7 linked regions of the Rattus norvegicus genome follow. The protein of the gene in region 1 binds, or shares a complex with, the protein of each later gene. Links are inferred from orthologs where the notes say so. Each region holds a gene or a part of one and is shown in the gene's direction. Other genes may lie near its edges. The genes, in order: Eftud2, Snrpd3, Rbm48, Snip1, Rbmx2, Gpkow and Plrg1.

The links.
Region 2: Eftud2 (region 1) and Snrpd3 share a complex: the UniProt entries of both Homo sapiens proteins name them as parts of the minor spliceosome. The link is inferred for Rattus norvegicus from reciprocal best matches to the Homo sapiens genes EFTUD2 and SNRPD3.
Region 3: Eftud2 (region 1) and Rbm48 share a complex: the UniProt entries of both Homo sapiens proteins name them as parts of the minor spliceosome. The link is inferred for Rattus norvegicus from reciprocal best matches to the Homo sapiens genes EFTUD2 and RBM48.
Region 4: Eftud2 (region 1) and Snip1 share a complex: the UniProt entries of both Homo sapiens proteins name them as parts of the minor spliceosome. The link is inferred for Rattus norvegicus from reciprocal best matches to the Homo sapiens genes EFTUD2 and SNIP1.
Region 5: Eftud2 (region 1) and Rbmx2 share a complex: the UniProt entries of both Homo sapiens proteins name them as parts of the minor spliceosome. The link is inferred for Rattus norvegicus from reciprocal best matches to the Homo sapiens genes EFTUD2 and RBMX2.
Region 6: Eftud2 (region 1) and Gpkow share a complex: the UniProt entries of both Homo sapiens proteins name them as parts of the minor spliceosome. The link is inferred for Rattus norvegicus from reciprocal best matches to the Homo sapiens genes EFTUD2 and GPKOW.
Region 7: Eftud2 (region 1) and Plrg1 share a complex: the UniProt entries of both Homo sapiens proteins name them as parts of the minor spliceosome. The link is inferred for Rattus norvegicus from reciprocal best matches to the Homo sapiens genes EFTUD2 and PLRG1.

What each region holds. Positions count from the first base shown.
Region 1 is NC_086028.1:88,343,358-88,347,420, reverse strand, and holds the start of Eftud2 (116 kDa U5 small nuclear ribonucleoprotein component), read left to right. Parts: upstream 1-1,263; 5' UTR 1,264-1,316; intron 1,317-2,968; exon of another isoform or gene 2,969-3,047; intron 3,048-4,063. UniProt on the Homo sapiens protein: Required for pre-mRNA splicing as component of the spliceosome, including pre-catalytic, catalytic and post-catalytic spliceosomal complexes. Component of the U5 snRNP and the U4/U6-U5 tri-snRNP complex, a building block of the spliceosome.
Region 2 is NC_086038.1:13,142,121-13,146,175, reverse strand, and holds the start of Snrpd3 (small nuclear ribonucleoprotein Sm D3), read left to right. Parts: upstream 1-1,255; 5' UTR 1,256-1,370; intron 1,371-2,648; 5' UTR 2,649-2,664; coding exon 2,665-2,790; intron 2,791-4,055. Other genes in the region: protein GUCD1, read right to left, coding at 387-642. UniProt on the Homo sapiens protein: Plays a role in pre-mRNA splicing as a core component of the spliceosomal U1, U2, U4 and U5 small nuclear ribonucleoproteins (snRNPs), the building blocks of the spliceosome.
Region 3 is NC_086022.1:31,512,601-31,516,726, forward strand, and holds the start of Rbm48 (RNA-binding protein 48), read left to right. Parts: upstream 1-1,326; coding exon 1,327-1,437; intron 1,438-1,921; coding exon 1,922-2,112; intron 2,113-4,117; coding exon 4,118-4,126. Other genes in the region: peroxisomal ATPase PEX1, read right to left, coding at 884-1,012. UniProt on the Homo sapiens protein: As a component of the minor spliceosome, involved in the splicing of U12-type introns in pre-mRNAs.
Region 4 is NC_086023.1:142,618,515-142,621,002, forward strand, and holds the end of Snip1 (smad nuclear interacting protein 1), read left to right. Parts: intron 1-613; coding exon 614-884; 3' UTR 885-1,988; downstream 1,989-2,488. UniProt on the Homo sapiens protein: Required for pre-mRNA splicing as component of the spliceosome. As a component of the minor spliceosome, involved in the splicing of U12-type introns in pre-mRNAs. Down-regulates NF-kappa-B signaling by competing with RELA for CREBBP/EP300 binding.
Region 5 is NC_086039.1:132,765,021-132,769,194, forward strand, and holds the start of Rbmx2 (RNA-binding motif protein, X-linked 2), read left to right. Parts: upstream 1-1,374; 5' UTR 1,375-1,381; coding exon 1,382-1,386; intron 1,387-1,575; coding exon 1,576-1,691; intron 1,692-3,712; coding exon 3,713-3,764; intron 3,765-4,174. UniProt on the Homo sapiens protein: Involved in pre-mRNA splicing as component of the activated spliceosome. As a component of the minor spliceosome, involved in the splicing of U12-type introns in pre-mRNAs.
Region 6 is NC_086039.1:17,475,499-17,479,758, reverse strand, and holds the start of Gpkow (G-patch domain and KOW motifs-containing protein), read left to right. Parts: upstream 1-1,460; 5' UTR 1,461-1,555; coding exon 1,556-1,725; intron 1,726-2,844; coding exon 2,845-3,002; intron 3,003-3,105; coding exon 3,106-3,230; intron 3,231-4,260. UniProt on the Homo sapiens protein: RNA-binding protein involved in pre-mRNA splicing. As a component of the minor spliceosome, involved in the splicing of U12-type introns in pre-mRNAs.
Region 7 is NC_086020.1:170,716,188-170,719,603, forward strand, and holds part of Plrg1 (pleiotropic regulator 1), read left to right. Parts: intron 1-1,091; coding exon 1,092-1,241; intron 1,242-1,387; coding exon 1,388-1,489; intron 1,490-2,191; coding exon 2,192-2,294; intron 2,295-3,120; coding exon 3,121-3,229; intron 3,230-3,416. UniProt on the Homo sapiens protein: Involved in pre-mRNA splicing as component of the spliceosome. Component of the PRP19-CDC5L complex that forms an integral part of the spliceosome and is required for activating pre-mRNA splicing.

The sequences.
Region 1 (4,063 bases):
TCCCTAGCAAACCACAAAACCACAACACACACACAATCTGGTGCTTCAGCTGAGGGGGCAGTTTGGAGTTCAGATTTCTGATTCTTCATTCTTTCACCTAGGACTTCTCTATATCAGGTTATTACCATAAAGGAAGGAACACACAGAGAGAGAACAGAGAGAGGAGGGGGCTTCTTTTATTATCTACTCCTGCTCAGGAACAAAATTTCACACTTCACTAAATGTTTTTAATGGAGAAAAAAAATCACCTAGACCCAAAGCAATGGCAACGCAGGAAGTTGAGAACTATCAGAGGGAGAAAAGCTCAGTGGCCTTCCTTCCCAAATCCCTGACCAGGGGAGGGCTGCAGGCAAATGTGTGGTGGCATTATCTCCAGTCCTACCACTGAAGTTCTGCCCCCTTCTGGTGGTATGTGTCCGATGGGGCTGTTTTCACAGGAATCTATGTGTGCCTGTCTGGGTTCTGACATTTACTTATGATACCTCTTTCCACCTCAGAATCCTGGTGAGCGGGTGCTGCATGCTGTAGTTCACTCAGGATCAGCCAGCCCTAGGGCAGGAAATGAGCTGATCCGCAAGCAAATCCACAGCCATGCCGGATCCCATCGATGGGAAGTGGAAAGCCAAGAAGTGGGCTGTGTTAGCCAGCCAACAATTGTACTCAAGTGTCTCAGATTCTATGCAATATTTTGGGGTGGGGGAGATCTCGCTATGTAGCCTAGTTCTCTCCAAAACTTCTGAGCTCATGATGTTTCCTCTAGGCTCAGCCTCAGGAGCGATAGAGACTATAGACTCTCTCCATCCCGCCCACTTCCCTGGCTAGTTCTAAGCCTTCCCCTAGAGTAATCCCCTTTACTGTCCCCAAACCCTCACCCAGTAGCCCCAGTCTTGGACCTTTTGCTTTCTTTTGAAAAAGCCCCTCGATCTGTTAGAACGAACACCTTAGAGGATCGCCCAGCCAACAGCGGTTGTTGCCTAGCAACGGCGCCACTAGCCCGCCCACGTGACCAGCCCGAAGGCCCTCCCTTCGGGCTGTCCCAAGGCGCCTGATCAGATCCGAGACTCCTCCGACCGTGCGTTTTTCTGAAACAGTTCACGCTTCGTTTTGAGGATCAACAAATTGGCTTTTCCAGTTTCTGTCTCCAAGCCAAAATTCCTCGAAGCTGCTCCTCAGGCAGAGGGCTGTCCTGCGAGGCGAGGCGATCCGGCGACGCGCTCGGGGTCCTTCCTGGCGACGGGCGCCGGCGTTGTCGCGGCGTGCGGCGGAAGCGCGGGCTCAGGCGGCGGACTAGTGGCCCTCGGCTGATCAGGCGGCGGGTGAGCTGGCCGGGAAGGGTATTCTCAGGGGTTGGGGAACCAAAGAAACCCGAGTTTGGGAAGAGGCGAATTATGCCTTTCGCTTAATCAACGCGTAAATTGAATTCTGGCGTGGGGAAGGGAATGAAAGACACCGACCCCCAACACACGCTCACACGGTCGATTCCAGCGTTTCCGTGGTCCCCGGCGTGGTTAAGATCCTGTGCCTTAGTAGAGGTGGCGCTGTAAATACCCAGACCCCTGCCACTCCCCCTTCTATCGGTCCCTGCTTCACAGCCAAACTGTGTCCGTCTTCAAACTATTCTGCATCCAAGCTGGCTGTGATAGCTGGTGCCTAATTCTTCCTCGCTGGAGATAGAGGCAGGAATATTGGTGCAGGTTCAAGGCTAAGCAATGGGTCTGGTTCAAAAAGCCAAAACAGAAAAGATTTCAGCATTCCTTTGAGGATCTGTGTTGTAGCGGGAAGATGCAGTTCTAGTATTAGGGACTAGCTTTACTTAACTAAGCATGTAACTAATTCATCCTCCCACCCCCAACAAACAAAACTAGCAAAACGTATTGAAGGCCTGTTTTGTCCCAGACACTACTGTCATTTTTTGCTCCGATTTTTATTATTAACGTTTGTCAGTAGCAGATATACACCCATGTATTCCTAAGTACTACTCAGGCATAACCTTGATTTATTAGGCTGGGGGTGTAACTCGGTGGAGAAGTGTGAGGCCCAGAATTTGATCTTAATCACCCGACCACACACTAAGATTAGTGTAAGGCTGGGTTGACAGGTGTATGTGGAGGGATTTTTAGCGTGGCAAATAGGTGACATTAAAGGAGAGGGGTGAGTTAAATGAATTAAGATATAAATAGCCAGAGGACAATGGGAATGACAATAGCCCTGAGGCAGAGATGAGCTTGGCTTGTTGAGCAAACAACTTTCTTTGAAAATTTGTGCCATTTTCTGGTGGGAGTCTTGAGCATAATTGTGGTGGCCTCTTAGAACTAAAAACAATAGTTACATCAGAGTCTCCATAATGACTGACATTTAATTACCAGTGATTAGCACTCTAATTCTGCATTTTATTTATAGTCATTCCTCACTGAGGTATTCAGTCTACAGTAAGAAATAACAGAATTTCAAAACTGAACATTCTACTCAGTTAACCTTACTCGGTGTCTGTTTGTGCAAGGTGCTGCCTAGGGTTTTGGCGTGTGAACACATGCTCATGTTTTATGTTAACCAACATTTGTTATTTGTATTTTTTTGGGGGGGGGGTTCTTTTTTTCGGAGCTGGGGACCGAACCCAGGGCCTTGCGCTTCCTAGGCAAGCGCTCTACCACTGAGCTAAATCCCCAACCCCTTTATTTGTACTTTTTGAGACAGGGTCTCTCATATCTCAGGATAGGATCGTGGGTATAAGCTCTCATGCCCAGCTAATCTTACGTTGTGTGTTTCTCTGTGAGTATGTTTGCAAATCTCTCTGGTGAATGAGGATCAGGTGTGCTGTGGCTTGCAGGCAGAGGTCAGAGGACAACCTTCAGGGTTTGTCCCTCCACTCCTGACCTGTTTTGAGATAGGATCCCCTCGTTACTGCCAACACCAGACTGACTGGCTCTGAGCCTCAAAGAATCTCTGCCTCCCATTTCCTGTAGGAAATCGCAGACACTCACACTACCAGATGGGGCTTTTTCGTGGGTTTCCAGGATTGAACCCAGGCCGTCAGACTGCATAGCTAGGTACATTCATCGCCTTTCTAAGGTCTTAGGCTGTGATAATTCACTCTAGGGAGGTAAATGCAGTTCCACGAGTTAACATCATCGTTAGAGATGAGGCTGAGATACGATGATGGAGTGAGGTCGATGGAGCGAGGTCTTTAACTCCAGGGGCCTGATGCTTTTCCCCTGCTTCGGTTTTTGTTGCTCACAAACTGTAGAGGAGTTGTTGGTGAGAATAACAGTAGTCACCTAGCATTTGGGACAGAAGATACTGAAGAGAGTGAGAAGTGAGAGGCTGAAGGGCTAGGAAAGCTTGAAGGGTGGGATCTAAACTGTTCCTTTGAGCAGGATATCAGTCACTGAAGTGGGGGAAAAATCCACTGGAATTGCAGACAATTGTAAGCTAATGTGTGGATGTTGAGACTCGAACCTGGGTCCTTTGAAAGAGCAGTAAGAACAATGAGTTCTTAATCATCACTAAGGGAAAATGAGTACTTTTATAACAAGCATGTCCGCTGTCAGCATAGTTGAGGGCACAGCGAGAATCATCAGTGAGGAATGGTGTACCGCTAAGAGCAGATGCAAATCCACACGAAGGGATTGCTGATACAAAGCATTGCTTTGTGGTCTGAAAATGTCAAGTCGTGAAAGTCAAGACTAGAAAGCCATTCTAGATTAAAAGGATAAAGATACCTCAGGGTGTGTACAGTCCTGGTTTATGTCCTTAGCTGTATAATTCATGACTGGAACAGTTTTTCAACTTGGCATTAGGTAGAATAACCTGCTGGTATTGATGTTTTTGTTTTGATGATTGTATTGTGATATTTTGAGAACTTTTTTTTTAAAGTAAGATGCTGGAAAGATGGTTTAGAATTTAAGAGTAACTTCTAGGCAGCCATGAAGACTTGGAGTCAGATCCTAGCATTCACATGGCAATCTTCATGTTCCCAAAGGATCCAATGCTGTCTTTGGAGACATGTGTATAAAATTATACATAGACAAACAGACACACACACACACACACACACACACACACA
Region 2 (4,055 bases), on another chromosome or scaffold:
CTTTCCCGCCCCTTTGTTGAGTGCTCTCAGGCCCCTCTTTCCCCCCCTTCCCGGCCTCAGGCTTTCCACAGCTCCCCGGGAAACAGGATCACCCAACGTGCTTCAAGCAGGGCTATTCGTTTCTGAGCAAGGTTGTGCCTTTTTGCCCCTTGGACTTTTCCACTTGACCACTCTCAGAACTCCCTGGGCTTCAAACCCCGGGAGACTCAGAACAACCATAAGTTGAGGATAAGAGATGAGAAGGAATATCCACCTAGCTAGGACCCACTAGAGGCTCCAGGCTGGGCTGAGGCCGCAGACGACCCAAGGTCGCACGCTGCCAGACCCTGCTCGGCTCCAGGGCGGAGTCCCCCCCCCCCTCGGTTCCCCCTTAGAGAGGCACTGACCCGGCTCGAGCGGCTGCCCCGCTGCCTCTACCTCCGTTCTCATGACCCGGGTGGCGCAGGGCGCCCATGGCCCCGGCCTGGAGCTGATTGCCGCTGCGATTTCTGCTGGGCGGAGAGCTCGGCCAGTGAGCGTAGAGTTCCTCCGCCGCCGTCGCCGCGGCCACCGCGGTTCAGACCCGGGTAGGCGGTGGCGAGGCCGCCTCAAGCCACGCCTAATCCCTTCCAGGTCTGGGCGCTGGAAACCCGCCCCTTCCATAAGCCACACCTCTTCCCTTCTACCCACTTCTCTTCCAGACTGCGCTCCCGGCCGGTCCTTCCCTTAAACGCTCCGGCGGCCCCGCCCTTCCTTAGCCCCGCCCCTGCCCGAGCCCCCGCCCCCAGAGCCTTTCCCGGGGCGACGTTGGCTCCCCACAAACAACCTAGCACTCTCCCGCCACTAGGTCTGCTCTTTTGCAGCCTCAGTTGTAGGCTCTGGTCCTTCGCAATGCCTCGTCGAGACTCCAAAGAATCCTTTTCCTACTCCCTTTAGGTCTTCTTACTTTGACCTTGAATAAAGATAGTTCCCAGGGCTCGGTGTGTCCCTTACCTGACGGTGACCGGATCCAAAGTTTAAATTTCTAATCCAAGCCTCACTTCCTGTCTACCCAGAGCATTGGGCGCAAGCCCAGATCCTGCCCAATCCGTCACTACAGCACTCTGTAAGCGTGGGTCCCCATGTTCCTTTGTGGGCTCGAGGATTGATGTTTCCGGCGGTCCTCGGGCCCTCCACAGTGCCGGAACTATAGTGCTAGAGGCCTGGGTTCCCCAGCCGGCTAAGTGAGAGTAAAGGGTAAGTAGGCCTAAAGGAAAGGGAGGGGCCTGCGCAAGGCATTCTGGGAGCGCGTGGTGTGAGTGATACTCGGGCCCGTCGTTTCCTCGCCTCAAGCCTTCGCCTTCTAACGTTTGTGCCGGGACCGAAAAAAAAAAAAAGCCTGCAGTTAGTTGGTGAGGAGAGGCGGCTAACGGGAGAGGGGAGGCCAGGGCTCTCCAGAGGCTTAGGAGCTGAAAGGGACGCGGAGGAGGAGCTCAGCGGGGCTTAGCGGAGGGCGGGAAGCCAGGGCCTATCCAAATATCATCTCACTAATCCTAGGAACAGTTATTTATTTACGCCTAGCCAGCACGTTCTGTGCCTTTCCAGGTCACCGATTTTCGAAGCTTACAGGCAGTCCTTTCTTGCTAGTTATCTCCTTGCCTTCCGGATCTTCGTTTTCAACGTCCTTTTCATCCCTGCGCCACTCCCATTCCTGTACTGGCCTCCCCTCCTGCTTTGCACGCTGCTGCAGACGTTTCAGCAGATTGCTCTGCTATATGTTTAATCCACTTTGTAGATGCTACTAGTTTTTTTTTAAGCCCTTGCCTATAATCCTGTAGTGTTTCCCTACCATTTTCAGCACTCTCCTAAAGTTGAAAGCCGTGGTTCCTCACCATGTTTAGCATCCTTATAGTCTTCTCATGAAAATGGGCCGTGTGCTCCGTCTAGTGTCGTTTCCCGTCTCAGAAATGTAAAAGCCCTGCGCATAGTCTTTGTTTTTTTAATGAGACTTAAGTCGAGCGTTTACCCTATTTCCCTGAATGATGAGCATTTCCTGTTTATAGCATGTTGCCGTGACGCTTTTGGTCTGCTTTTTGGTGGGGAGTCAAAAAGCTAAATTGTAAAGCACAACCTGTTTTCCTGGATTTCTCTGGGTTTAGGTCTCTTTGTACTATCAGGTACTGTAGCTTTTATCCAAATGCGGTTGCTGAGTGATTGGAATATGACTAGTGTGGCTGAGGGACAGATTTTTTTTGTTTTCATTTGCATTTTGTTTACGTGTAAACAGTTATTTGGTCGGGGTCCATATCATAGTTGTTTAAATGATTATAAAGAGAGGGACATATGACTGGGTGAGAAGGGAGGTACTCGGGGTTGGGGATTTAGCTCAGTGGTAGAGCGCTTGCCTAGGAAGCGCAAGGCCCTGGGTTCGGTCCCCAGCTCCAAAAAAAAGAACCAAAAAAAAAAGAAAAAAGAAGGGAGGTACTCTGATCCCATTCATTGGCTTTCTTTGTCCAGTTTACCATCCTTCCCTACCCTACATGTTGGGCTAACTTGCCGTCGTGGGTCCTTCAAACCAAGAGCCAGACTCCTTCCACAGAAAATGCAGCCGTGACAGAATCTGCAGAGCCTGTGGAATGCCAGTCCTTAGGCTCCGAAAGGTAACCATTGTCTCTCTCACTGCCCCATAGGAAGAGTCCTGCCAAGATGTCTATCGGTGTGCCAATTAAAGTCCTGCACGAAGCGGAAGGCCACATAGTGACATGTGAGACCAACACTGGTGAAGTGTATCGGGGGAAGCTCATTGAGGCAGAGGACAACATGAACTGCCAGGTATCCTGCTTTGCACCCGGGGCTGTGAAAGAACGGTGGCTTCTATCCTGGGGGATAAAAAGGTCTTAATGAAGTTATTCTTACCAGACAGTTACTACCTGTCAGGCACTCTGACAGGCTGTGAGATCATATGTCAATGTAGACTTAGTCTTGAGACAGGAAAGTCATTTGACAGCCTGATGTGGTAGTCCATGAATGTCCCAGCAGTTGGGAGGCTGGGGTAGATTCGAGGGTTCTAGGCCAGTGTGGGCTTTACAACAAGACCACACTGCTTTTGGTGGGGAGTCAAAAGGCCGAGTTAAAAGCCCCGCCTCTCTTCTTAGTTTTCTCTGGGGTTGGGTCTATGTGTGCTTTCAGGTAGCCTTTATCCAAATGCAGTTGCCGAGTACCTGTCCGTAAAACAACCAGTTATGTTAACTTGTTCTGTCTGTCTCGGCTCCTAGAGTAGGTCAGGTTCGGAACCGGAGTCCGCTTCCCAGCACAGTTTATAGTTTGCAGAATTTTCTGCTCACATATGTGTGTGTTTACTTTTGTCTTGGAGAAAGTTCATCTGATAAAACTACCAGAGTTTTGATAAATGGTTTTGGATTTTTTTTCTCCCATTAATTAAGAACTTGAGCTTTGGAATCAGAGAATTCTCTGATTTCAAATTGAGTTGGGCCACAATTATAGGACCTGGGGTACCTTGGCCATTCGTTCTCTCCTCTATAAAATGAGAATGGAGTTGTTTTGGATCCTCTGTGCTGTAAATGCCAACCCAGAATTAAATCCACAAAAGACTTGTTGGGGAAATGGCAGAAGGATGTCAGTGACCGAGCGGGATAGCACATGTGATTGGTTACTTTTCTTGTTGCTGTGATCAAATTCCTGACCAAAGCAACTTACGGAAGGAGGAATTTATTTTGACTCACAGTGTGATGACACAGTCTGTTGCAGAGGATGGTGTGATGGCAAGAGCTTGAGGAGGCTAATAGTCGCATTGAATGTGCAATCAGGAAGCAGAGATTAGTGCCTGCGCTTAGCCCAGTTTCTACTTTTGACCTCCACCTAATCTAGATAATCCCTCACAGACGTGCCTGTCCCTTCCTTCAGTAATTCTAAATCCATTAAGTCGATAATAGTAATGATGGTAGCAGGAGAGTCTTCAATCCAGAGAAAGGAAGGCAGATTGAGCAGAAGGAGCCTCAGACTGCAGCATGATGCTGAGCAAGTTTCCCCAAGTAAGAGGAGTGACTGGAGGCAGAAGTGGACTGGCTCTCATGTTT
Region 3 (4,126 bases), on another chromosome or scaffold:
ACAGTGAACTAAGCTGGAATTTGGTGACAGTGACTGATTCCTTTTAGCCAACAGAAAGCGAACTAGACAGTTAAAGAATATTTAATATTTGGTGAAGACAAACTAATTAACAATAGGAATAATTCCGATGAAATTGGTGTGTTTTGATAGGCGGACTGTAAAAGCAAGATAAATCAAAGAGGAAATAAAGGTGGAATACAAGTCATTTCAAACTCTTGGATATTTCTTTTATGAGCCAGTATTCCGCTACCAAGCACCTAGGACTTTAGATTTCAAATAGTCTAACCCCATGAATACACTCAAACTAGAGAGTCTGTGCTCACTCTTAATAAAACATGGAGGCTGTCTCTCCACCGATGGAGTAATCCTGGCTTCGCAGGTGAAAGTACGAGGTGTGAATAATTCCATTGCCTTGTCACCCCCCCACCCCTTGTGGTGTCCGAAGTCCTCCTAAGCAGGGAGAGCTGTCACTTTATTAACCTTTGGCACAGGTTGGAAACCTTGGTAATCTACCAATCAAGTCTGCCACTCAATGCTTCTATGGCTGCACTGGCAACTTGTTGGCAGGATAACGCTTTAGCAAAACCAGTAAGAGCTCTCTAGAGCTTTCCATCCTAGAGTGAGGACCGCTTCTGAATGCTGAGGCAGAACCCTAGTATGTTCAGTCTGGTTTAACCGAGTTAAAAGGGTGCCCAGTAGGGTCTGGGGATGCACTAGTCGGGGTGTAGGTGCACACACTGCCTCCCCACGCCATGCCCGCAGAGGGCCCTCGCTCACGCCTCAGTGCGGGTTCGGTGGCAAACACTGTCCGGACCGGGAAAGGTGTCAGCGAACACTAGTCCCACAAGACATCGATGGTGTCCGCGTCCGGTCATCGCGTTACCTGCAGCAGGTGAAGCTGGGCCACGAGGTGCCGTGGCAGATGGAGGAAGCAGTCCCGAGCATTCGTGAAGGCCACCGTCACGACCGCCCCACCAGACCCCGCACCGGCTAAGCGATCACTGCTCCACATTGTCCCAAGGTTCAACTCTCGCCGGAGAGCCGAGTCCGCCGGCTTCCCGTCAGGCCAGGGCGTCGGAGCCCGAGAACATCGATCGGGGCCGCCCCCCTCTTCACTCGCCTGACCGCTGTCACTCTCGGATCGCTCCTCCGAGGCTCTAGGGGGCGGCACATCGCTCGTCGAAGTCTCGCTCTCCGGAAACAATCGTCGATGGGGTCGATCCTCCAGCCAATCCTAACACGCTTGGCCCATACTGCTCTCTCATTGGACACAAAGGAGCACCGCTGGCGGATGTTGTTCTGGCGCGGGGGCTTGAAGCCGGCAAGATGGCCTCCAGTGACGGGAAACCCGGTGGCATATTCGACCACCACGTCCAGACAGCTGTGTGTGACTCGCGGGCCAAATACAGGGAGGGCCGACGCCCTCGCGCGGTCAAGGTAGAGTGACTTGGGTTCCTTCTCTCTCCTCGGCAGGAGCATTAACTTCCTGTCAGCACTAGCTCTCCATGGCCTGCCTCCATAAAGGCACGGCAGGGATGCTGTCAAGTCCATCTCTCAGTGGAGGGGGCACGAGGAACAAAGTTTATCGCTGTTGTCGGTTTACTGCTTACTCCACGATTTTTAGCTTTGCATCCTATAATACAAGGACAAGGTCTCACAGGACAAGCCCTGTTAAGTGACTGTTTACATTAGCTTCTCTGGGGTCAACTTTGGGAAAAGACGTCTGTTTAGTCAGATACCCTTATGTGGAGTGTGTTATTCTTTAGGCAGAAAGAGTGACAGTTTTGTGTGTATGTTTTGCAGACCATATTGAGCAGAGTATTTCTTGTTTTCAAAGCTCCATTTAAAAGAGGGATGGGAAGACAGATTTGCCATAGGCTTGTTTGAAGAGTACGTTTAACGGGCTCTCCCCCGACTTTAGGTATATACCATCAATTTGGAGTCTCAGTACTTACTAATACAAGGAGTTCCTGCAGTGGGAGCCATGAAGGAATTAGTTGAGAGATTTGCTCTCTATGGTGCGATTGAACAGTATAATGCTCTAGATGAATACCCAGCAGAAGATTTTACAGAAGTTTATCTCATTAAATTTGTGAAATTACAAAGTGCAAGGTATGTACAAGTTAAGCAGAACTCGCGTCTTCTATTCCTGTTGCCGTCATTTCGGCCTCAGGATTTCCCAAACAGACCCAAATCACATGAGCACTTCTCACTCTCAGTCTTCCTGATTTGGGGGTTGGGGAGCAGGGTTTATTTGAATAGCTTTAGCTGTGCTGGAATTAGTTCGATAGACCAGGCTGGCCTTGAACTCAAAGAACCCTTTGTCTCTGCCTCCCGAGTGTTGGGTCCAAAGGTGTGCAACACCCCATCTCGCCTTCTGGTTTAGTTTTTACCAGGCCTCACATATGCAGTCAGTCACTCTAACAGTGAATGATATCCCAGCTCTTCCTTCTGATGTTCGAAAGGCTGACTTTACAACACTTTTCCCATCCTGTGCTTGATGGTTTCTGAACCTGGAGTGTGGTAGATTTGGGAGATGAGGAATTACATTTGAAGCACATTTCCAGTCCTATGGCTTCCTGACTTTGGAGAATTTTATTCCTGCCAAGCACATTTTTTTTTCTTTTCCTAAAATCCACAGGGCAAAAAGGTCTACTTCTTGAGGTTCACTGAGGAAGGATGAAATGAAACAATTTATGTAAAAGGATTAGACTGGTACCTCCTATTAAGAGTAAATATTAGAGCCAGGCAGTGGTGGCACAGGCCTTTAATCCTAGCACCTGGGAGGCAGAGGCAGGTAGATTGAGGTCGAGGCCAGCCTTGTCTACAGAGCTAATTGCAGGACAGCCAGAGCTACCCAGAGAAACTGTGTCTCCAAAAAAACAAACAAACAAACAAAAAAAACCAAAAAACAAAAACAAAAAGTAAATATTAGTAATGACAGTTCTTATTAGTATGGTTCTATGTTAATCAACCTTGTATTCCAATAAGACTGAAGTCAACAATGCTTTATTTTATGTTAACCCTTTGGGTGGGGGAGTGTGTGACTGTAGGTGGGTGCACGCCTGCGTGTGTAAAACTTGCTATGTAGGCCAGCTGACTAGAACTCAACTTCCTCCTGAATCTGCCTCCCCATCCCCACCAGGTTTAAAGACATGTACCACTACAGTGTACTCTACCCTATGTTTTGAGACGAGACCCTTATTGAAACTAGAACTCATGGCTAGATTGGTTGGCCATCAGGCTCCAGTGGTCTTACCTTCTCTATCTCGCCAGCACAGGGATTATAGGCACAGTACGGTGCCTAGTTTTTATGTGCACGCTAGGGATCTGAGCCTAGCTACTCAAGCTTAAACAAGTACTTTTTCAACTGAGCAGTCTCCCTAGCTCATGTTAGCCATTTTTTCTTTTTAATCATTAACATGATCTAAACCATATCCTTCTCTGGCTTTTGCCATTTATAAATGTTTTGGTGGAAAAGGGCTTCAAATCCTCTGGCACTGGAGTTACAGGTGGTTGTAAGCTATCCAAAATGGGTCTGGGATTTGAATCTACTCTTCCCAAAATCAGCAAGTGCTCTTATCACCCACCTAATTATCCCTCCAGCCCCTGTGTTTCTTTTGTTCGCTACTCCTAGTCCACCACAAAATCACTTGACTTCAAAAGGCCATGTGCCTTTTCTTACCAAGTGGGCAACTCTTCGTGGTATAGAGAGCAGATTCTCTAGCGCCTTGTATCTCTACAGACCCTGATACAGTTGGCTTTGGAGTCAGCCATCTGAGTTGAATCCTAGTTTTATAGATGAATGTATGTGACCCAGAATTTCCCGGTGCCTTGGTTTTACCATGAGATGGTTATGAGATGTCAATTTAAGTGGCACACTTGTGGCTTTGCATGGAGTAATCGCTCAATAAACATTAATCATTATCTGTAGATACAGAAGTACTTAATTACTTACAGTGCTTGGTTCAGCATAGGTGTTCAGCATTTCTTTTTTAAACATTATTATTTCTCTTATTTTTATGTGTATGTGGCGTGGCTATTTGTTAATTGTTTTTGAACCATGTAACTTATGCATTTCTTTAGCATTCTCTTTAAGTTATGCATTTCTTTTTAGGATAGCTAA
Region 4 (2,488 bases), on another chromosome or scaffold:
GACTCCTGCTGCGGTCCTGTCCTGTCTCCACCTGCCCCCAGGGCTTTCTGAGGACCAAATAGAAATAAGTAAAGGCCAGAGTCTGGATGCCAGATAAATGCTAGCAGAATCTGCTGTTTGGGAATGCATCTTTACCATTTGATACTCAACCTGTGAGGAAAGCGGTTCAGTGGTAACATCCTTATCTAACAGGAGAGAAAACTGCAGCTCAGTACAGAAAGCAATCTTAGAGCAAAACTCTGTCCACATCTAGCCCTTGGCTCTCAGTTCCTAATTCTGTTTTCCCTTCATTCGGGCTGGTGCTGAAATCATGTGCAGTGTTGGAGAAAGTCTTTGCGTAAATAGCAAGAAGCCTCGAGTTCTGCACTGGGACCTCTGTGGCCCTCCATCGCCATCTACCAGCCACAGTCAGCTTTGCCTTTTCTCCTTGTTATGTAAAGTGCTCTAAACTTCCTTATCAGCGCAGCACTTCCCTGTGATGTCCTAGAGTTTTCGTTTGAATCCTGTTCAAGCCAGGCCACTGATGTGTAAATCTGTAGCAGAGAGCTTTAAAGAAGGTAGGTGGTCTCTGGTAGGACATGGCTCACACACTTCTCTCCTTGGTCTCTCCTAGGCTTGTGGAGTACACCCGTGCTGATGGGACGGTTGGTCGGAGGGTGAAGCCCTACATCATTGACCTTGGCTCAGGCAACGGAACATTCTTGAACAACAAGCGTATTGAGCCACAGAGATACTATGAACTGAAAGAAAAAGATGTACTTAAATTTGGGTTCAGCAGCAGAGAATATGTCTTGCTTCATGAGTCTTCAGACACCTCTGAACTTGACAGGAAGGAAGATGAAGATGAGGAGGAGGAGGAGGAAATGGTGTCTGACAGCAGCTGAGAAGCAGCCTCCACTATTAGAAACCGTCCCTACCGGAGGCCGTGGGGTGACTCCAGCGCCTCTTCTTGCCTTAAGTCTTTCCTCTATTGCTGCCCAGCTTATGTTGCAGTATGAGAGCTGTCACTTCGTGTTTTGTTGAACTTGGCACAGCAGCGGCCTGCCTGTGGGCGCTTGTTTTCAGAAGAATCTCACCAATTACAGCATGTCGAGTTTGGTCAGAGTGTGTGGCTGCGGTGGGTGCCTTCAGAACTGCTGCCATAGGAAACAGCCCTTGGAAAGGGGATTGTGACTTCTCTTTGTACAGTTTCTTATTTATATAGTTGTTGAGCTTTGTGAACCAGGAGTTTTGTTTTGGGGACAAACCCTAGAGTAGAGAATCTCAGTCAGCTTTGGATGTCACCAAAACAACCTCCAGCATATACCAAAGCTTTGACCTGGTTCAGCTCTTGAGTCACAGAAGTTGGTTTTGCACTTCGTTTTTTTGGGGGGTGACAGTTTACCACGTGACCTCTTTATTGGCTGTCTGCGATAAACAGACACTGTGATGCCTGTGTAGACATGACTGTAGGGAGGTCATGGCTTCTACTGACAGGTGCTGGTGTCATGTCATACACTGGGCTGTAGATCCGCATCCTCTGAGGATTCCTGATTGCTCCATGAAGCAGACATAATGGTTTGATCATCTGGTCTTTTCTTCAGCTTTGCATTTTTATTCCGATGTCACCTCTCTTCTCCCTTTGAGAAACACTACACTGACTTTCTGGGCGGGGCCTTGCTGGGGTCTCTGGGTGTATATGTGTCTAAAGGAAGTCATGTAGCTTCCATATTTCTGCTTCATCTTTGACCATGTGTTCGTATTCAACTTCCAAGGGTAGAAAGTAAGGGACAGCCTAGGTCTTCCCACCTGGGGTCTGTGTGAGTAGAAAGATACTCCTTCCTTCCGGTCTGTGTGCTTCAGAGCTATGTGCTGATTTTCATATGACAGTGTTTTGTGATATAAATAATACCACATGATAGGCAAAGGCCTGTCTGCATTTGGAGAGCAGGTTTTCATTTATATGTATTTTTGAGATTAAAAAAATAAAATTTGTAAATATAGCCTCATTTTAGAGGGTATTACTTTTCTCACATAAATGACTTGTTCATAGGTGTGTTTGTTTCCAAAGGAGTCTGTGTAAACTGTTTTGAGGTAACAGTACTATGTGTGTAGGGAATTGTAGGGAGAGACCTGAAGTACTGAACAGGAACTGTTTATCTCAGCAAGGAGGGCATGGGTCATGAGCTGTCCGGAGGACTTGTGTCAGTGCTGTGCATTTGGTGACAACATCAGGACCACTTCCTCCTCAGGTGGAAGTGATCGTATTACCTGTGCTGCTCTTAGCTTCCCTGAGGCTAGGATTCAGGATGCTGCTGAGTAGATTTTCTTGCTTGTATAGTCAGGGGGTCACTTGTCCTCAGGGCTAGAGGCTGGCCAGGGCAGGAATGTACTTCACAGAGACTCATACAATCCCTACTGTGTCCAGAAAGCACATTGTACTTTGGGTATTTTTCTCAATTCAGACAAGGTTTTCTGTCTGAGATTCCATAATAATTGTCCTCCTACT
Region 5 (4,174 bases), on another chromosome or scaffold:
CCCACACCAGCCAACCAATCAAGGGAAAGAAAAGTAAATGTCACCCACCCTACCCTGACAGACTTTAAATTGACCCTACAGAGCACACACCTAGGCTTTCATTTCCAAATGGGGAGACTCTTGCATGCAGGAAATTCTGCTGAATAAACACTCTTTGCTTTTGTATACTATTTGAGTCTGGGGGGTATCATTCTTCTGCTACTCTTGGACCCTAACACTCACAAAAAGGAACTCCTATTTTCTGTTTACATACTGATTTCTGGATAATTGTGATATGAATAATTATTAATTATATGATAATTATGATATGAAGTATTCAAGTACATATAGATTTCCCCTTATACCATTAGTTCTATGCATGCAGAAAACCAGTCCTCCAGATTCCTTCTATAGACCAACTGTACAGAACAAATTTAGATGCTCAATAAGGGATGATTAAATTAGCCTGACCTGATTGGTACAAGCTCAAGACATTTCAAGTTAAGCAAATTTTAAAAGATTTATTAGTTTTACTCATGTGTATGTATATCTGTGCATGCCATGGGAGTGCAAATGCCCACAGAAACCAGAGGAGGAGGATGGATCTTCTGAAGTTGGAGTTGTGAGCCACTTGTTTTGGGTGCTGGGATCTGAATACAGGTTCTCTGGAAAAATCACCAAATGGTCTTAACCACTGAACCACCTCCCTAGACATTCAAGCTAATTTGTTGAAGCTCAGTTTTTTTTTCCTCTGTAAAGTAGGGGTGGTAACTGTATTTCATGGGGTTGTTGGGAGGCCAGCTTGGTCTACAGAGCGATGTCCAAGACAGCTAGGGCTACACAAAGAAACCCTGTATGTAAAGAAACAGAGATTGAATGAAAAATGAAAATGGCAGAAACTGAGCCCCTTGGAGGCAGAGGTTTAGGGTAGGGGCAGCCACTGGTGTGAGACTTAGCCTGGGTTTGAGACCTAACAGAGACAACATGCATAAATTTTCTATCATTTGGAACCTTTACATTCTCTAACTCTTCAATTGTTAGGTACTAATTTGACAATGCTAATTTTTGCCTGCCTCTGGAAAAAGGCCACATCCGTTATTTAAATCTGTGGGCATTTAATTCAGACTGCAGAAGCACACGGATCCACTGTAACGCCCAGGTTCCCACCTTCGAGCTACACCAAAAAGGGAAGCAGGGAATAACTAGGGAACTATTTCGCCCCTGGAGCAAAAGCGTGAGAAAGCGCGTTTGCGTTACTGCGCATGTGCCGAGGCTTAGCGCGCCGGAAGTCCCGCCTCCATTTCCGTTGGCTCCAATCTGAGCTGAGTGTTCGGGTTGCGCGCGCGCTTCGGAGCCTCACCCGGAAGCTGATGTCTTAAGAGCGGAGCGCGAAGATGCGAATATGAAGTAAGGATTTAGTTTCTCTGAGGACAGGGGAGGGAGTTTCTCTGAGGAAGGGAGAATGGATTGAGGAGGGCCGCCCATAAGGGCGGGGACAGGTCCTCGCCTTCAGGGCCTCGGGGCGGGAGACGACCGGTACGTAGAAGGCGGGCTGTGAGGAAATGTACTTAAACGTCTTTCCCTTCTCCCGCACAGCCCTTTAACTAAGGTGAAGCTGATCAACGAACTGAATGAGCGAGAGGTTCAACTTGGGGTGGCAGAAAAGGTGTCTTGGCACTCGGAATACAAAGACAGCGCCTGGATCTTTCTTGGTGAGGTCTACATTTTTCTCTAGCAGTGCCTTTCAGAGTCTGTACCTCCCCTCCCCTCCTCCCCCTTCCTCCTGGTTGTTTAGCGCCCCTGGTCGTCACCTCTGAACACGCTGCTCGTCACCTCACACTCTTGCAGCTAGTCTGCTCACAGGTTCCTTTTTCACTTGGCCCCTATGATACTGCTTAGAAATTGGTATTTGCCATTCATTATATGAAAAATCTTGCCACTTGGTTGCTTAGAGACAGTTAACTCCCCAGGCAACCCATAGTGATGTCAAGGAAACTGAGGCGCACAGGGGTTACTGGGCTTGCTTAAGGTGCTGCATCACTCAAAACTATAGGGCTGTGTTCTTAGTCCTTATTGCATGTCTATTATCTGCCGTTTCTCAGAATTATTTTCCTCTTGTAAGTGGCTGCTTCTCCCAGTTCTTTGTTGTATTGTTAGGTACCAGAACAGACATTAACTGGCTTGGACGACATTGAGGGTTTCTCCTGCTTAACATTTGAAAGGCTATCTGAAAATGTGGAGGGATGTGAGCTTTGTTGTTCATTAAGGGAAAACTACTGATGAAAAGAATACAGTCTGGATTACACCCCTGGCCCTGGGTAGATACCGGGACATTTTCAGGAATCCTAAATGTTACATGCTTGTGTTCCCCTTCCTTAAGACAATCCAACAGGCTTTAAATTTTCTGGCCAGGAGTCACCTGTCAGGAAAGCTCAGTCATCTAAAGACACGCTAAGGACATGGGAGGGAAATGATCCCCAGTGCAGTTGTTACTGGTCTCTGTGTTAAGTCTACCTGTTATTCTGAGTTCTCACTTATCCCCTGCCCTCCCTTTCTGTCCATTCTCTGGATGCTGGCTGGAATCCTGAACATGCTTGCCCGGAACACTTTGGACTGTCTCATTCCAAATCTAAAGGCTCTCCTATCCCCTTGAACCACTCCTCTACCTCCATCTCTGTGCATTGCTGCTTGCTTGACCGCTAATTCAGAAGGCATGGCTGCTTCTTCTGCAGCTCCTTCATCCCAGTAGCTGCTGAAGCTTACAACTTGCTTCCCTATCAGCTCTCTCTCAAATGCTAATAAAATGGACCTCAAGCTTCCTCCTTAGTCTGCTTTAGAATTATATTATCAAGATAAGACATTACTAGCCTTTGTAAAAGGGGAACTCTTAACTCTCTGGTGACAATATTATTATCCTGTATTCACTTTATGTCCCAACCAAAATCCTGCAGTTTACCTTTGGAAAGAGGCTGTTGTAATAGGTATTGTGTTAAGCACTTTATATTCCTCATTTTACTTTATTTCTCTAACACTCCTGTGAGGCAAATATGATACCATCCCATTTTTACACTTGAGGGAAAACATGGAGGGAGGGGAAATTGTTTCCTATGAAATGCTTAATATTATCCCTTATAAATCTTAGCTTGCACATAAGTGAGGGTAATAATAGTATACTTAAACTTGCTGTTTATGAGATTGAGTCTTGTGCAGGAAATCACCTGCTTTATAGGATTTTTGGATGTGAGGATTCAAAGATAAAATTAATTTGGTGAGTGATGACCCCAGCCTTTCCACTCAGAGTTACTATTTTTTTCTCTTTCTCTTCTCTTCTTTTCTTTCCCTCCTTTCCCTTCCTTTTCTCCTTTTTTTCTCTCTCTCCCTCCCTTCCTTCTTCCCTCCCTCCTTCCCTCCTTCCCTCCTTTTCTCTCTCTCTCTCTTCCCCCCTCCCTCCCTCTGTACCTCCCTCTCCCTCTTTCTTCCTTTCTTTCTCTCTTTCTTTGAGGCAGAGTTTTACTATGAAACCACTGTGTAGACCAGGCTTGCCTGGAACTCACAGAGATCTGAGAGTTAATTACTTTCCTTCCGGACTACTGTCACTATACCCACTCATTCTATCATTGGATTAGACTGATATATTTGAGATTGTGGCTTGTTTAATCTGTACCTCCAGTGCCTAGCATGCAGTAAACACTTGCTTAATGTTTGTTGAACCCAAGTGTTTGTTTTCTTCTAGGAGGGCTTCCTTATGAACTGACAGAAGGAGACATCATCTGTGTGTTCTCACAGTAAGTCCTCTGTTGTTACCTATCTCCTGGGTGCATAGAACAGTTTGCTTCCATAGAGTATTTTTGTAACAGCAACAAAGCATTTCAAGCTGGGTGTGGAGTTGTACACCTCTATAAGAGGCTGAGGTAGGAAGATCACTTGGAGTGAGACCCTGCCTCAAAAAGCCATGAAAACCATTTAATTCTAGGCTGAATGACATCCATGCATGGGGAAGGCTAGAGTCTAGCTCAGTCCCAGGTTAGATAAGGTTCCAGAGAATTACCACATGGGAGATCCCAAAGCTTGGATCATTTGAGAGTCTGTCTGAGGGACTTTAGTCCGTTTCTGTCATTTTTACTGAGCTTCGTTCTGCATGGGCTTACATTGGAACAGACAGGCATTCAGGAAGATGCAGTATTGCCCCTTCTCT
Region 6 (4,260 bases), on another chromosome or scaffold:
AAGAGAGAGAGAGAGAGAGTAGAGGCAAGCCATGAGCATGTGGAGAGGGAAGGGAGAGGAATGAGGAGAGAGGGGGAGCAGGAGCAAGAGAACAGAGCAAGAGAGAGAGGAGGGGGCAAGCAGCCGCTTTTATAGTCAGTTTGGCACACCTAGCTGTTGCCAAGTAACTGTGGGACAGAGTTTAGAGTAAATGCTAACAGCTGTTGTCCTCGTAAACAAAGCAACTCGTCAAACCATCACTGATGGGGAAAAAGTACAATAGGCCCCTTCCTCCCCTGCTGAGCCATCTCTCTAGCCCTGCCTCTGAAATTCTTGTCCCAAACTTATAACCTCAGACTAATAGCGAAAAGTTAACACAACAAGCTTTATTGGCGTTATGTTCTTCAAAATAACTGAGCTATATTTTTAAAAATCAGTAAAGACGGGGTTGGGGATTTAGCTCAGTGGTAGAGCGCTTGCCTAGCAAGCGCAAGGCCCTGGGTTCGGTCCCCAGCTCCGAAAAAAAAAAAAAAAGAAAAAAAAGAAAAATCAGTAAAGACAAAGACTAAAAAACTAGCACTAAAGACTACAGAAGACAAAGGAGGCATACAATTATATTGCAGTGTATGAGATATCAAAACTGGATCCTAGAAGGAAAAAATGCTTAATTAACAGAATCGCACCCAGGGATAGGGGTGTGGCTCAGTGATTAAAAAGAAGCAACATTATACAAATGTTCATCTCCTGTTTTGGATAATTTATAACACTGTTATGGAAAATCTGTAATGTTATCTTGGTCAAAAAATATGGGGGCTAAGTATGAACAGTTGTGCTGCTCTGGCTGGGGGAAAAAAGCAACTGAGTCAAGCAAAGAGGCTTCAACCCAGAAGGTCCTGGCTCTTCATGCCAAAAACCAGAAGACACTGCCTCATCCAAAAGCTCAAAAGGGTTAGAAAAGTGCAACATAGAGATTATGTGTAACAAAGGCACTTTACAAGAAAGCATAAGAAACTGGGGAATGGGAGAGAAAAAAAGAAATTAAAGGAATACAGATTAATGGTACAGTGCTTCCCTAGACGAGGCCCTAAGTTAAATTATTAGCACTGCAAACTGAACCACATCCCAGGTACAATCCTGGTTTTTCACCTTATTGACACTTTCTACATCAGTAAGATTCACATTGTGGAAAAGCACATTAAATTATGTGCTTGTCAAATACAAGATTTATTTATTTTGTTTTGTATATATAAATATTTTGCCTGTATGTACATCGTGTGCGTACATGTCGGAAGAGGGTAGAACTGAATTCCTAACGGTTTAATACCCAGGAATAACCTAATCAATCTTCCACCGCGACTACACCACTAAGAACTACATTTCCCGGAATGCTTAGTACGGCACCTTACTATGACGTTTAAAGAGTTCCCAAGCTCTAATTCCTGTTTCCCACGGCTTCAAGGCACCTGTTCTTGAGGCGTTGCATTCTGGGATAGATTCTGGCGTTCCTGGGCGGCCCTTAAGGTACTAGAGTTAAACTTCCCAGCAGGCAGAGCGCTCGCCTGGGACTCGAGCCAAGATGGCGGGCCGTGAGAGTCCGCCACCGGCTGCCGCGTCCACAGCTCCGATTTCTTTCGGTTTCACTCGCACATCTGTCCGGAGGCGACTGGCAGACCTCGGAGACAGCGAAGGACAGGCCCCAGAGAAGAAAGATTTCTTGGCGACTGTGGAAGGGAGGGAGCTGCAGAGGTGAAACGCCGGGTCTTTTCACGTCTTAGAAATCGGTGAAATGGGCTTAAGCGGGAGGGCAGAGTAAGGTGAAACGCCGGGTCTTTTCACGTTTTAGAAATCGGTGAAATGGGCTTAAGCGGGAGGGCAGAGTAAGAGAAATTTATGCTGGTGACAGTGGCCTGGAAAGCCTGAAACAGCTTCGGGAAATTTATGGAGGTAACCAGGAGTGGCGGCAAATGCCTGTAAGTCAAGACCTGGGAGGCTGGCGCAGGAGGATCAAGAATTGAACGCCAACCTGGGCAATTTGAGAGCCTATATTAAAAAAAAAAAAAAACAAAGAAATTACTAAAATAAGGGCAAGAAGAGGGAGGTTTGTTATGTGGATGAAATGGGGCTTGAGAATCAGAGATATAAATTCCTCAGAGAAAAAGTCGTGTGCCTTTTAAGAAAGGGAAAGGAGGGAGAATGACAGGATTCTTCCTGTCTCAACTGAAATGGTGGGTGCTTCTCCGATTTGAAGAATGAGGCAAAGTCAAGTTTTGGGAGGCCATCATCAGTATAATTAAGAAAGGAAGATCCTAGAGGCCTAAGTGGGGGACTTCTAAACGGCAGTTTATGGGCCTGGAACTAAGAAGCTAGACTAAAGGTGGTGAGTTGTAGGTCATTATGCTTTAAGGCCTAAGAATGATTTGCACAAGACACATTTAAAGCTGGGACCCCGGAGAGAAATGATACATTTGTATTGGTTGTATTTCCAGCACTAGGAAGTTGTACCAGGTTGACTGAGAGTTTATAAGACCAGCATGGGATGCATCGTGAGATGTCTCAAAAAAGATGAGTGGACCTTTAATAGTAACCTGTGGAACATGGTCCATAGGGCTAGGCATTGATATTTATTTTGTTTGTTTGTTTCTTTCTGGCCATTGTTTATTTTCTTTGTTTCTTGATATTTTTACTTTATTTAGAGGGGGTGTCAAGACAGGGTCTCTCCATGTAGACCAGGCTGGCCTTGAACTCAGGGATCCTCCTGCTTCTGCCTCCTGAGTGCTGCTGGGATTAAAGGCATGCATTACCACTACCCGGCTGATATTTCTACTTTCTAATATGTCTACAACCCTTTTTCTCTATCCACATCAGTGTGAACCCTCCAGAAGCTCCAAAGGAGCTGGTTATCCCATTGATCCAGAATGGCTCTCGCAGGCAACTGCTGTCCAAGAACCCTAAGCCCTCAGAAACAAGCACCGTGTTGACGTCAGATGGTGTGTTGTCCCAGGCTGTGAAGGAACTCATTGAGGGTGAGTGAAAACCTTCCTCTTTGCTCTGCCCTAGTGCAGATAGAAGGGGAAGAAGTTGGAAGGATAGGGTATGGCCTCATTGATCCCTCCCATTCTTCCTTAGAATCCAAGAAGTCTCTGGAGGAGAGGGAGAATGCAGGTGTTGACCCCACGCTCACTATCCCCATGATCCAGAAAGGATGTACTCCCATTGGGGAAGGAACATACAGCGAACCTCAGGCTGAGACAGTGAGCTGTCCCTTTGCCTCCCTCCTACACTATTCCTTCTACCCTGTCTGCCTAGTCTCCTTGCACATAGCAGGGAAAGTGTGTGTGCATGTCCCAAAGCCCTGCCAATTAGCCTTTCCTCCTTCCACCCTTATTAGAAGCATTAACAAAACAGAAAGCAGGGTGTTTAAAAATGTACGTGAATGCTGGGATTATCTGAATGAGGTAGACAACAAAGTGGACAGGAAATACAAATGCCATGAGGGTGTACACTGTTTGGAACCACATTTGTCTGTTTCCTCTTTCTTTTTTCTTTGTTCTGATTTTAGCCTGCAGTGTTTGAGGAGCACTAAGGAAACCTATTACTGGATTGGAATGAATGGGGAGGGAGTGGGCAGTAGATGAAGGCAGAGGGGGCCAGATTAGAAAGGGCATTCTGACCCACAGAGCAGACTTTTGTCTTTTACTATGAGTGGAGTGAGAGCTAAGGGGAAGTCTTGAGCAGACAGGGTTAGAACAGGGTCCCCTTTGTCTGCCCTGACCAAAAATGACTAGGAAGTGAAGGTAGGGCAGGAAGGGAGTAGACTAATCCAGAATAGAGGTCGTAAGGATACACACACATAGAAGTGACTGGAGTGAGAACTGGAAGGGTAGTTAACATTTAGTGAGAGAAGAATGATCAGACTGGGGACTCCGAATGGCAGCAACAACCCAAGAAACCCACCCTTGTGGGAAATCAGTTCTGAGGCATCTTGCAGTGTGCCGAGTAATGATAAAGGAATGAAGAAATGACAACAGATGAGATGGAAAATGTGTTTGTAGAAATAAAGTTTGAGCTCAGCTTCTTAATGTTTTAGCTTTTTTTTTTTTTTCTTTTTTCTTTTCGACATAGGGTTTCTTTGTGTAACAGAGCTCCTCTGGCTGTCCTGAACTCACTTATGTAGACCAGGCTGGCCTCGAAGTCACAGAGATCCACCTCACTCTGCCTTCTGAATGCTGTAATTAAATGGGCCTGGCTAGTGTTTTAGCTTTTATTCATAAAATGTTTGTG
Region 7 (3,416 bases), on another chromosome or scaffold:
AGTGGCATTCAAACTTGTTTTGTAAGCATGTTAACTGCCTACTGTTGGTTCTGTGTAACTTACAGAAGTATGTTTTCTGTGATGACAGGATGAAAGCATAGTTCTCTGTAGAAGTGTGGTGGAAAGTTCTCTGAGAGCCAGACTGGTACTGCAGTTAGAGCGTCAGGTGGACTGGGTTTAGAAAGTTGGTGTTGATGTGCCAGTGTATCTACTGTTAACCCTTTATCGGTGTGTACATGGATGTACTGCTTAAGAATCAGCTTTTAAATTGCTTTAGGTCTCACTGTGACTGTAGCCGGACTGACCTTGCCGAATAGACCAGGCTAATGTTAAGTCCACAGAGACCCACCTGGCTCTGGAGTGCTGGGGTTAAAGGCAGTGTGCACCACCATGCCTGGGAGAAATCCCTAGTTTATTTTGAATCTTGTTTTTCTCACCCAGCATCATCTTGAAGGCCTATTATGAAAAGTTCAGTATTTTACATGAGTAGAATGTGCAGATAATTCTGTAACTTGTTCCCTATTGTTCAACGTCAAAGTTTTTAGTTTGATGGTTTTTCCTTGTGATAGCCCGCATTTGTTTAGACTGCTCTTTGTGTATTGTGTGTTGTAGTTTGATAGACCCTCATAACTACAAGGTTAGGACAAAAGTCTGAGCTGGTACAGGGAGCGCAGCTTTATCTCCAAAGTAGGTGAGCTGATGCTTGATCTGTTGTCGTGTAGCACTTCAGACAAGTGCAGGGATGTGACCACTGGAAACAGACAGAGGTCTGATTTTAAGCAGACATGCAGACATGTAGTGAGGTTAACATTTTTGTCCTTGGTATTTTCTGGATTAAGTTGCCATTCTCTCTGGTACAGTTAATGATGCTTTGTCGGTATTTTTTTGTTCTTTTATGAATTGGGAACAGTAACCTTGCCATATTCTGCAAATATTTACCCAGCTTCAATGTGCCTTTTCCCCTGCTTTTATTTGGAGAGGGATCATTTTAAAGAGACTTGATTTCCCCTGTATACATTTATTGTTATGTCAGTGTATTATGTTGGTGGGGGAAGTAACCAGGATAAAGCAGAACAATTACTTGATTTCAGATTTGGGACTTGGCCAGTGGCAAATTAAAGCTGTCATTGACTGGCCACATCAGCACAGTACGCGGTGTGATTGTGAGCACGAGGAGCCCTTACTTGTTCTCTTGTGGAGAAGACAAACAAGTGAAGTGTTGGGATCTTGAATATAACAAGGTAAGCCTGGAGCCATCGAGCTTGTTTTTATTCACTGCCGGCCCTTTGAGGGCTATGTTAGCTCTTTGCCTTGGCACTGCATCTCCGGGCCGCACTGTTGATGTTTCTGATGCTAGAAATTGTAACTTTTCCACTTTTATTTTTAGGTTATACGGCACTATCATGGCCATCTAAGTGCAGTGTATGGTCTGGATTTGCATCCAACAATCGATGTCCTGGTCACTTGTAGTCGAGATTCTACTGCTCGGGTAAATGAAATGTGGTTGTGTGGTTTTTTTAGGTGTCCTGTATCTTCTCATATTCAAACTTGGTATTAGTGGGTTTTTGTTTTGTTTTATGTTTTTAGGAGAACAGGTTCTTGACTTATCACTCACCTGGTCCCTTGGGATTCGTGACTTCTTCGTTTGCTATCGCTCTTCAGTTCGGTGTTTACTGTCGTTAATGTCCTGAATCATGTTGACATAATGACAGCCTCATAGTCTCAGCTGGTGGTTCTCAACCTGGGGTGTGATCCCTTTAGGGTTAGAATAACCCTTTCACAGGGGTCACCTAAGACCATGAGAAAACACAGATATTTATGCTCTGCTTCCTAACAGTAGCAGAATTGCAGTTATGAAGTAACAATGAAAATAACTTTATGGTTGGAGTCTCTGCAATGTGAGAAACTGTGTTAAAGGTTTGCAGCACTAGAAAGCTTGAGAACCACTGGTCTAGACTCTCACGGTGGTTTCCTGTTAGCTGTTTAATTCTCTAGTCCCATCTGGGACCAAGCTGATAGATGAATGTCCTGATCTTTCTGCCTTGGCCACTGTATCCCCATAGCACATGGGTCATTGTCCTCCATTTGCGCATTTCCTTCACGATGTTCAGACACACTGGTTTGGCAAGCTTAGAGCTTTGAGATCCGAATGCCTGTTCTTTTTCATATCATGTTGATTTTACTTTTACAGATCTGGGATGTGAGAACTAAAGCCAGTGTGCACACTTTGTCTGGACACACAAATGCAGTTGCTACCGTGAGATGCCAAGCTGCAGAGCCACAAATTATTACTGGTACGATCTGCTTCTCCACCCACTGCCATACCAGAAGCATCGCGCGCCATTCTGCAGCCGCCGTGAGCTCCCCCACCTCCGACTTATGCTCTAGTTTCTCTTTGTATCTTAATCATGGGTGTTTGAAATGCAGGCTTGCATGATGTTTTCTAAGATTCTTTTTATTTGCTTTGCTTTTTTATATTTTTTACCTTGTGCTTTTTATGTATTATAGGATATGTTAGGCATTGTTAATGCTGTTTAGAAAACTGCTATAAAATACAGTCAAGTGTCATTCTAGAACCCCATGTCCATCGTTTTAGTTTGAATCTTACTTGAATGACAGTGGATCTTTACTTCGACTGGAAGTTAATTCTTCAGTTGGTTTGTTTTGTTAACTAGAAATATTAAGATAGAAAGACTCATTTTGTTTCCTTCCCTGCCACTGGAGTTTAAAATTGCATGTTGGTTTTTATTTGCTATTTATAGGGTTTTTAGACTTGTATGCTTTGCCTGCATATATGTGGTGCATATATGTGGTGCCCACAGAGGTCAGAAGGAAGGGTCGGAGTCGCTGGAGCTGCAGTTACAGATGGTTCTCCTCACTGTATGGTGCTGGAATCTAACCTAGGCCTGCAGGAAGAGAAGGCAGGGCTCTTAGCCACTCTTTAGAGCCTCAGGCAAAAAGTTGCAAAGAACCAAATATAAAGTAACTGTAGTTTTAGGACTTTGAGGAAATTATTTACAGTGGTAGGACTTTCACTTAGTGTATAGATATATACAGACGAATTCTTTGTGTTTTGTTGTGTTTTAACTTGGGGATTCTGTCTGGGTGCCTTTATTACAGGAAGTCACGATACCACAATACGATTATGGGATCTGGTGGCTGGAAAGACACGAGTCACATTGACGAATCATAAGAAGTCAGTCAGGGCTGTGGTCTTACATCCGCTACAGTAAGTGTGTTGTGCTGATTAGCTTTTCTTTGTCTGTGTCTTAGTGAAACTCTAGCACCAGGAGGGGCTGTTTTCACACCTTCTGCCAGTGCTCCTTGCGGACAGACTTTCATCCCATCTGTTGCTCTCTTGCCTCACGTTCTATCTGGAATGAAGGGCATGGCCCCTCTACCTGTGACAAATAAGG